2 linked regions of the Bombyx mori genome follow. The protein of the gene in region 1 interacts with the protein of each later gene in a pairwise test. Links are inferred from orthologs where the notes say so. Each region holds a gene or a part of one and is shown in the gene's direction. Other genes may lie near its edges.

Region 1 (4,182 bases):
TGCGCCATAGATTATACACTTATGGCATGCGCAGTACACATATTTTGTATACATTTATTCAACTAATACAATTAATTAAACAAAAAATGAGTAATTTCGAAAGAGAACAAACGTATTTTATATAAGAACAATCGAAAATGAATATTTACGAGTAATTAAGGACGAAAAAATTTTAAAAATTGCAATCGAGGGGCTAACTTTTAGATATATTTTTAATATTTTTTTTAAAATAAATAAATGGGGAACAAACAATTATTAACAATGAACAATCAAGAACAAATGATGAACAAACGAATTAATAGAAAATAAGTAGAAAACAGGAAAAAAAAATTTTTTTGAGGGGCTAACTTCATTCACCTATAAAATCACACCATTTAATTTATAACAAAGGCCAAAACCATATATTTTGTTGTGAGAAAAGTGAAATAGGAATTTTGCACAAAAAAAATCCGGCGAGTTATTTAGCCGCGTGGAACTAAATTAAATGTCAGAAATATTGGAGCTCAATGAATTTGGCCCCCCCCCCTTTGTAATTATTGGATTTTTTATTTTTAATTGTTATTTCGTCTTTTATTTATTTATAATTAATTAAACAAATGATCACCCTTAAGTCGGCCCCTCTTACTAGATGTCTTTATTTCTATCACTCAGACTAATTAATTTTGATCAATTATCGTTTGTTCGGCGACTATTGGTGATTGTTGCATCATAAAAACAAATAAATTCCCAATTATTAATTATTTTATATCTATTAAGCAATCAGGCCTATATTGTGCATGCGCCGGTTTTGTCAGTCACCTATCAATGGCCGTATTTACTAGCGTTTTGTTAACAAGTGCGCTTAAACTGTCTAATTATTTCCTAGGTAGATCAAAAAAATATTGAAAACTTCAACAATACTTCAACAAAAAAATGTCAGTGAAGACGACCAATTAGTCGTTAAAGTACGATTCGCCCGGTTTTAATAAATTCAGTTATTTTTAATTATATTGAATATTAACAACCATATAGAAATTTCAGTGATTTCTAATTATTCTAAGAATATTAAATTAATAATTGGGAATTTAATTGTTTTTATGATCGAGCAATCACCAGTAGTTGTCGAACAAACGATAATTGATCACAATTAATTAATCTGATCGATAAAAATAAAGATATTTTGTAAGAGGGGCTAACTTAAGAGTGATCATTTGTTTAATTATAAATAAATAATGGACGAACAAACAATTTTTACATTCGAACATTAACGAACAAACGACGAATAAATAATTAAAATTAAAAAAATATATTTGAAAATTAAAAAAAGGAGGCCAAATTCAGCTAAAATACTAACTCTATGGCACAGGACCACAGATCATAGATTAGACACTTAATATCCACAGATTAATATATTAGGATTGAACGCAAAGAGTAAAGTGTAAACATTAATTAATTTATTTATGAGGATATCGTTCTTAGATCTTAGATCTTATGTATAAGATAACTGACCTGCAATAATGATGAATATAAATCATAAAAAGGAAGATTTGAAACTGTACTGGAATAAAATAAACTATGCCTATCCAATTCTCGATGATAAAATTTTCAGCGACTGTACTGAGGCTGAATACGATGAAGTGCAAGTGTTAATAGTTAATTTGGGTGTCCAAATAAAGATACGTGATCTTGTATTTGTTCATATTGAGAAATATCTACGACAACATGTCGCATCTAGTTTTTGGTCAAAATATATTAAGACCGCGGAAGAAGTTAAAGGATTTCAACTATTTAAATCTTCAGTGAATGATCTCTATGAAGCAGTTTCTAGTTTCTCACCCATGTTACAAAGATTGACTAAATTGAACAGTAGTTGTAATGATAATAAGTTAATTTATGGCGAGAAAAATCTTGTATTAGGTTTTAAGCAGCTCGTCCGAGCTACTCTTCTGTCTCAGTTACCCATCGACTTTCAGTGTATTATAAACCAATTCTACAAAATATCTTTTAATGTTTTCGATAATGAATATGAAAACTCCGACATGGGCGAGGACATAATGTGTTCTGGTTGTGGAAACGAGTATTCCGATTGTAACTGTGCATACATTGTGAAAGTATTTCATGAAACAAATAGGAAGTTGGTGGAGTTACAATTGTTAGAAAGACTCACAGGTCAAGTTCTAACTAATTTCATCCAGTTGAGAATTCAGTCTCATATACAGAAAGTATGTACTGGCACTTTTGATGTGTCCCACATTGAAGCATTAGAAAGTTGGCTTAATACGACAGTAATGTCTTGGTTGATCAGAATTTATTGTGCTGGCTCCTCCAAACCTCCACCTGATGATAAAAATATACAAAATGCAATCTCAAGATTCAAACAGAAACTCACTTACTATCTCTATCATAGCTACACAAAAACAAGAATTGATCAGCTCTTCAACATCATTATAGAATATCCTGATTCCCAGCCTGCTGTTGATGACATCAAAATTTGTTTAGCAAAAACAGATTTGAGACCAACTCTATGTAAAAAGTTACAGAATGCATTAGAAACAAGGCTTCTTCACCCAGGCGTGAACACTCCTGACATACTCACTGCTTACATATCTACTATTAGAGCTTTGAGACACCTAGATCCTTCTGGTGTTATACTGGAAACAGTGACAAAACCTGTTCGTAATTATTTAAGAAGTAGAGAAGATACAGTGAGGAGTGTTGTGAGCAGTTTGACAGAAGAAGGTGCTGGTAGTGAGTTAGCTGAAGAGCTAGCTAAATTTGCAGCAGAAGGAGATGGCGATGCCGATAAAGATGAGGCTTGGGATGAATGGAATCCTGATCCAGTTGATGCTGATCCCAAAGTTGATTCAAATGACAGAAGAACTAATGATATTATATCTATGCTTGTTAATGTTTATGGTAGCAAGGAATTGTTTGTTAATGAATATAGAACTTTACTAGCTGATAGATTACTGGCTCAAAGTGTTATCAATACAGAAAAAGAAATTAGGTACCTGGAGCTATTAAAAATAAGATTTGGTGAATCACAATTACACTTCTGTGAAGTCATGCTTAAAGATATATCAGATTCAAAGAGAATTAATTCCTTAATACATCAGGACAAAACCATTGAGGAGCTGAATAAGAAATTTACTTCTAATGCAATGATTTTATCTGCACAGTTTTGGCCACCATTTAAAGATGAAAGTCTGGAATTACCAGAAGAAATCAAGGAACATTTTGAAGCATACACTAAATCTTATGAAGCTTTAAAAGGTAATCGAACATTAAGCTGGAAACCACACCTTGGAAATGTAAACTTAGAGATAGAAATAGGCGAAAAGAAGTTAGATCTGACAGTTTCACCTTTTAATGCGACATTGATAATGCATTTCCAAAATAAATCTGAATGGACGTTAGATGAACTCCATCAGGTGATGAAAGTTCCTATTACTATTCTGAGAAGGAAAATAACATACTGGCAATCGATGGGTTTAATAGCAGAAAAAAGTACAGATCACTTTGTTTTAGTTGAAGCTGATAATAAAGCCAGTGTACCTTCACATCAAGTACAGGAAATGATTTGTGAAGATGAAGAAACGGAGAGTGCCATGGCATCAGCACATGATCAGCGGGAAGGTGAACTGCAAGTTTTTTGGTCTTATATTGTAGGCATGTTAACAAACTTGGACTGTTTGCCTTTGGACAGAATACATCAAATGTTGAAGATGTTTGCTTCCCAAGCTCCAGGCACTGAATGCAGTCTTATGGAGCTGAGACAATTTTTAGACACAAAAGTAAGAACACATCAACTGGTACTTCAAGGAGGCATGTACAAATTGCCTAAGACATAGATGTTAATATTTATCAGAAATAAAAAAGAACTTGAAAGTTAACAAAACTTTATTTTCACCTTTTATATATTAATTTGGTTACATTACATGTCTATTTAAGTTAAAAGTTCAGATGCTTAAAACAATTTCTTTAAGCTGTTCCATCAACAAAATACATTATAAATTAAAATAAGTAATACCACCACTTGACTATAAAATAATACGAATAACATTTAAATACTTAGTGAATTTAATACATTATCATGTGTCAGTCTTAATATCTATTAAAATACTGTTTAAATTAAGAAGTAAGAATAAATAAATAAAACTAATTTGACAAGAAAAACATACTGGAGATAATACAGATTCATTA
Region 2 (4,188 bases), on another chromosome or scaffold:
TATAACAATATTTTTTAAATTTGTTGGTAAAAATCTGGTTTATTCGTGATGTTTTTGTCTAGAACTTTTATTCAAAATTATCAATGTTTTATTTTATTGTTTGGTAAATATTTATATTATCAGTTACGTATTGTTTTCTGTTTTTAGATATGCCTCGCGTGTACGTATCAAAGAATGCAAAGCCTTATAAGAGATATTATCCCTTAATATTAAAAACAGCAATTAGGAAATTTTCTATTTGGGAATAAGTCTTTAGTTGAAATAGCTAAGCAATTTAATATAAGTAAGTCAATTTTGCACAGACATGTAATAAGAACAATGAAATCTCAAGGTGGACAAAAATGTCTAAGTAATACATAATAAAATATTTATTATTTGTTCAGAGTGTCCGTTTTTTAATGTTTTTTATTGATGATCACTTTGTTGGTGCAACTAAATAAATAAATTAAAACCAAGTAGTGCCCACCCTAGCAAATTTCTCATTTCGTCCCAATTAACCGCAATTTCCGGGTAAATAGGGATTACACCTATTTTTGCTTTTTTTGCTTAAACTGGAATGCTAGTTGCATAGTTTTAAATTGGACAACAAAGATGCTCCCAAGACTCAATCATTTTGATCCTGATATAGCATTATATACATCAACAACTACCTTAAAATTGGTCATAAAGATGGAATTTGTCCCTAATCGCCCCATTTTACCGGTACTTGCGTATTTCAAGTTGCTTCCGCTTGCAGTTCTTTCACTGAAGTTCCAGTACATGTGTAATTTCTATTTTTAGTATTGTTTAAAAGTGATTTATTAAAGACCTTGTTTAGTTTTTAGTTCTTTTTATTTCAAATGATTTTTAGTAGTTTAATTGAGTTTGGTAATTTTTTTTTATTTCACTTAACATCATTTCAAAATATGGTACTCGTTTATGACTTCGTTTCATGTATCGATCCCCGTGCCTATCAGATTTTGAAATAAAATAATAAAAATTACACTTTGAAAATTTTCGAATTAACATCTGACAATTTTTTTAGCGGGAACGCAAGGCGCTAAGTTCTGTTAATTTTGTTAAAGTAGTGCTCATGTTTAAACGTGTAATAACGGTGATTATTACACTATTATTATACTATATTACATTATTAACTGTTTAGTATCTCTGAAGGTGCACAAATGTGGGAAAATGAAACAAATTCGCTGGACGTAGCTTCTCAAAAGCTTCCAAAAAGTCTTGGTGCATAACCACCACTCCACTGAGACTATATTTCATCACATCTCATCTCATTTCATTAACATCCTAATTGATTTACTGTCTCAAATTAATAAACTTCATCTCATTTCGCTCTATGGTTTTTCAAAACACAGAATTCACAGAATACACAAAAAATACGCTGTATGGTGTGATACCTTCGTTTTTCCAGTTCAAAAAATAAAGTAGCCGATAAGACTGACATATGACTGACATTAAAAACAAATTTATTTGATCTTACTTGATTTTACTTCAGTGGTTAGATTAATAAAATAAACATTATATTTTTAAAATTAGCACATAAACTTAAAGGCAAATGATAAATACTGAAAAAAATTTGTTCAGTCAACATATTATATCATAAAAATCGTTAATTTAATTATGAAGGATCTTAAGGTTAAATAAATCTAAAACTTCTATTTTAGCCTCATGATCGCGCTATGAAAGTAACTGTAAAAAGTAAGCACAATCTCTTTTTTTCATAATGTTTATTTTCCCTGGTTAATTTACACTTTATTCTTTGCAACTTAAAACACACTGACATTAAAGTAAATTAAGTAGTAATTTTTGCTAAGTGCCTTATTGTCATAGAGCACAATTCTTAAAAATTCCTCATACAAGGAAGAACCGATTGAAATTGAAATATTCACAGTAACGAGATAATTCATTTTAGGTTGGACAGGGGTTGCAACTTGGAGGTGGGTAGCAAACGACGACAATTGTGGGATTTGTCGTATGCCATTTGATAGCTGCTGTCCAGACTGCAAACTACCTGGGGACGACTGCCCTCTAGTTTGGGGTGCTTGCTCTCACTGTTTCCACATTCACTGTATCGTAAAGTGGCTACACTCTCAGCCTCAACAGCAGTGTCCTATGTGCAGACAAGACTGGAAGTTCAATAACAAGTGAAATATTCGTAAGTACATACCATAAATTAAGAAAATATAGTTTAAATAATAAATAAATATAGGTTTTTATTCTCACACTTTATTGTGTCACTGCTGTCCCATTTTGTAACTATATTTTGTTTACCAACCTATAAGGCTAGAATAATTTGGAAAAATTTATTGTTTGGTGTTTTCAAACTCAATAAGTAGTTAAATGGTTCGATGATTATAGAGTCACAAATCCTTATTAGTCATTTTTAGTTTAGTGATAACAAGTTTAAATCTCACCTTAACTTATTAATCAGGTGGTATGTAGTATAGAATATAGGGATTGATCTGCACATAATAGCAACTTTTATTATTAATGTCAGAATAATGCAAATCTAACATAAATGAAGTTGACAATATCACAACATTTTTCTTTCTTTGAAGCTTTGATTACGGAGTTCTACAGTTTCCTTCCTTTCATAATTCAGCAGAGTACTAAGTTTTAAAGACAAAAGGTTGCTACTATGCTAGTACAGATTAAATATTATTAAAGTTTTCTGTGAATTGTTGTACAAGGGATTGTCAAAAATATCATAATAACGAGGGGTGAAAGGTTATTATTTGGTTTAAGAGATAATATTCGATATTTATCTTTGTAATTAAAGGTGCATTTTATTTGATGTCAGTATAATTTTTTAATTGAACTTTAATTAAGCTAAAGAAGTTTTTTTTTTATTATGTTTTTTTTTTCAAATTTTAAACTTTAAATGGCTCTGCTATAAAGCTGCAAAAATGTCGCTCAAATCAAATAGCCTTTCACCCCGATATGAACTACTGATAAATTTAGATGTGTTGGTGAAATTAGCCTACCTTATGTTCTTTTTTTTTTTATTGCCCCTGTGGGCATACGGCCCACCTGATGGTGAGTGGTTACCGTCGCCCATGGACCTCAGCAATGCTAGGGGCAGAGCCAAGCCGCTGCCTACTGCTAAAATTTTCACTGCTTTTCCATTATTTGTATTTGGGCAGGGATTAGATGCAGTGTAGTTCGACTCCCACAACCTGAATTTGTTCAAACCACTCTGAAATTATAAATATTAGGTAATGATTATTAACAAAACATCTGTAGTGATAGAAAACAATCTCTGGAAAAATATTCTATAAGGATTCTGGATGATTTGCCTTTGGCACCAAATAATTTGGTCAAAGGGCAAATTATCTCTCCCAAAAAAACCAAAATACTGGGATACTCTTAAAATATAATCTTTATATACAGTATTTATAATATACTTTTTTACTGGGCATCGTTTCTGCCTGCACTGATAGTGACCACCATCCTACATATTTTTGCTGTGAAGCAGTAAAATGTAAACATTTGATGTGTGGAGCAGCCGATGTACTGTAAAAACTGACTTAGAAGTCATGTCACAGAATGGGTTGTGACAACTCATTAATCTCTCAGCAAAAATTAACTGTGAACCTTGCTGTCTATTCTTCGAGTTGCCTTTCGCAAAACTCACGAGAAGAGAGTGGATGCCATTCTAGGCCCTCTGGAGCTTAGTGTGCTGCATGCCGACATCGGTGTGTTTATAAACCAAAAAGGTCCCACATATTGCTTAACAGCACTTCAAAGAAATGTGATCAAAGCTGAAGTCCTGACAGGATACGTTGATGGCAAGCAATTTTTTTTGCCCCGAAATCGTCCTTTTAATTTTTTTAATTTTTCTTGTTGCTTCGATGGGTGGACGAGCTCACAGCCCACCTGATGTTAAGTGGTTATTGGAGCCCATAGACATCTACAAACTAAATACGCCACCCACGTTGAGATATAAGTTCTAAGGTCTCAGTATAGTTACAACGGCTGCCCCACCCTTCAAGCCGAAACGCATTACTGTTTCATGGCAGAAATAGGCGAAGTAGTGGTACCTACCCGCGCGGACTCACAAGAGGTCCTACCACCTACTTAATCAAATATCATTTAGTTTCAAACGCGTAATTTTTGTTTGGCAATGACGCGTAAATAATACACGCGGGGGTAGACATCTACCAGCTGCTTCGCGCATGGCCAATAGTAAGT

The links. The genes of interacting proteins can lie anywhere in the genome.
Region 2: the proteins of anaphase-promoting complex subunit 2 (region 1) and anaphase promoting complex subunit 11 interact in a two-hybrid assay, tested with the Drosophila melanogaster proteins (2 studies listed by BioGRID). The link is inferred for Bombyx mori from reciprocal best matches to the Drosophila melanogaster genes mr and lmgA.

What each region holds. Positions count from the first base shown.
Region 1 is NC_085131.1:8,614,805-8,618,986, reverse strand, and holds anaphase-promoting complex subunit 2, read left to right. Parts: upstream 1-1,365; 5' UTR 1,366-1,496; coding exon 1,497-3,830; 3' UTR 3,831-3,877; downstream 3,878-4,182.
Region 2 is NC_085118.1:13,747,147-13,751,334, forward strand, and holds the start of anaphase promoting complex subunit 11, read left to right. Parts: upstream 1-1,494; 5' UTR 1,495-1,676; coding exon 1,677-1,695; intron 1,696-1,705; exon of another isoform or gene 1,706-1,909; coding exon 1,910-2,145; 3' UTR 2,146-2,152; exon of another isoform or gene 2,153-3,193; intron 3,194-4,188.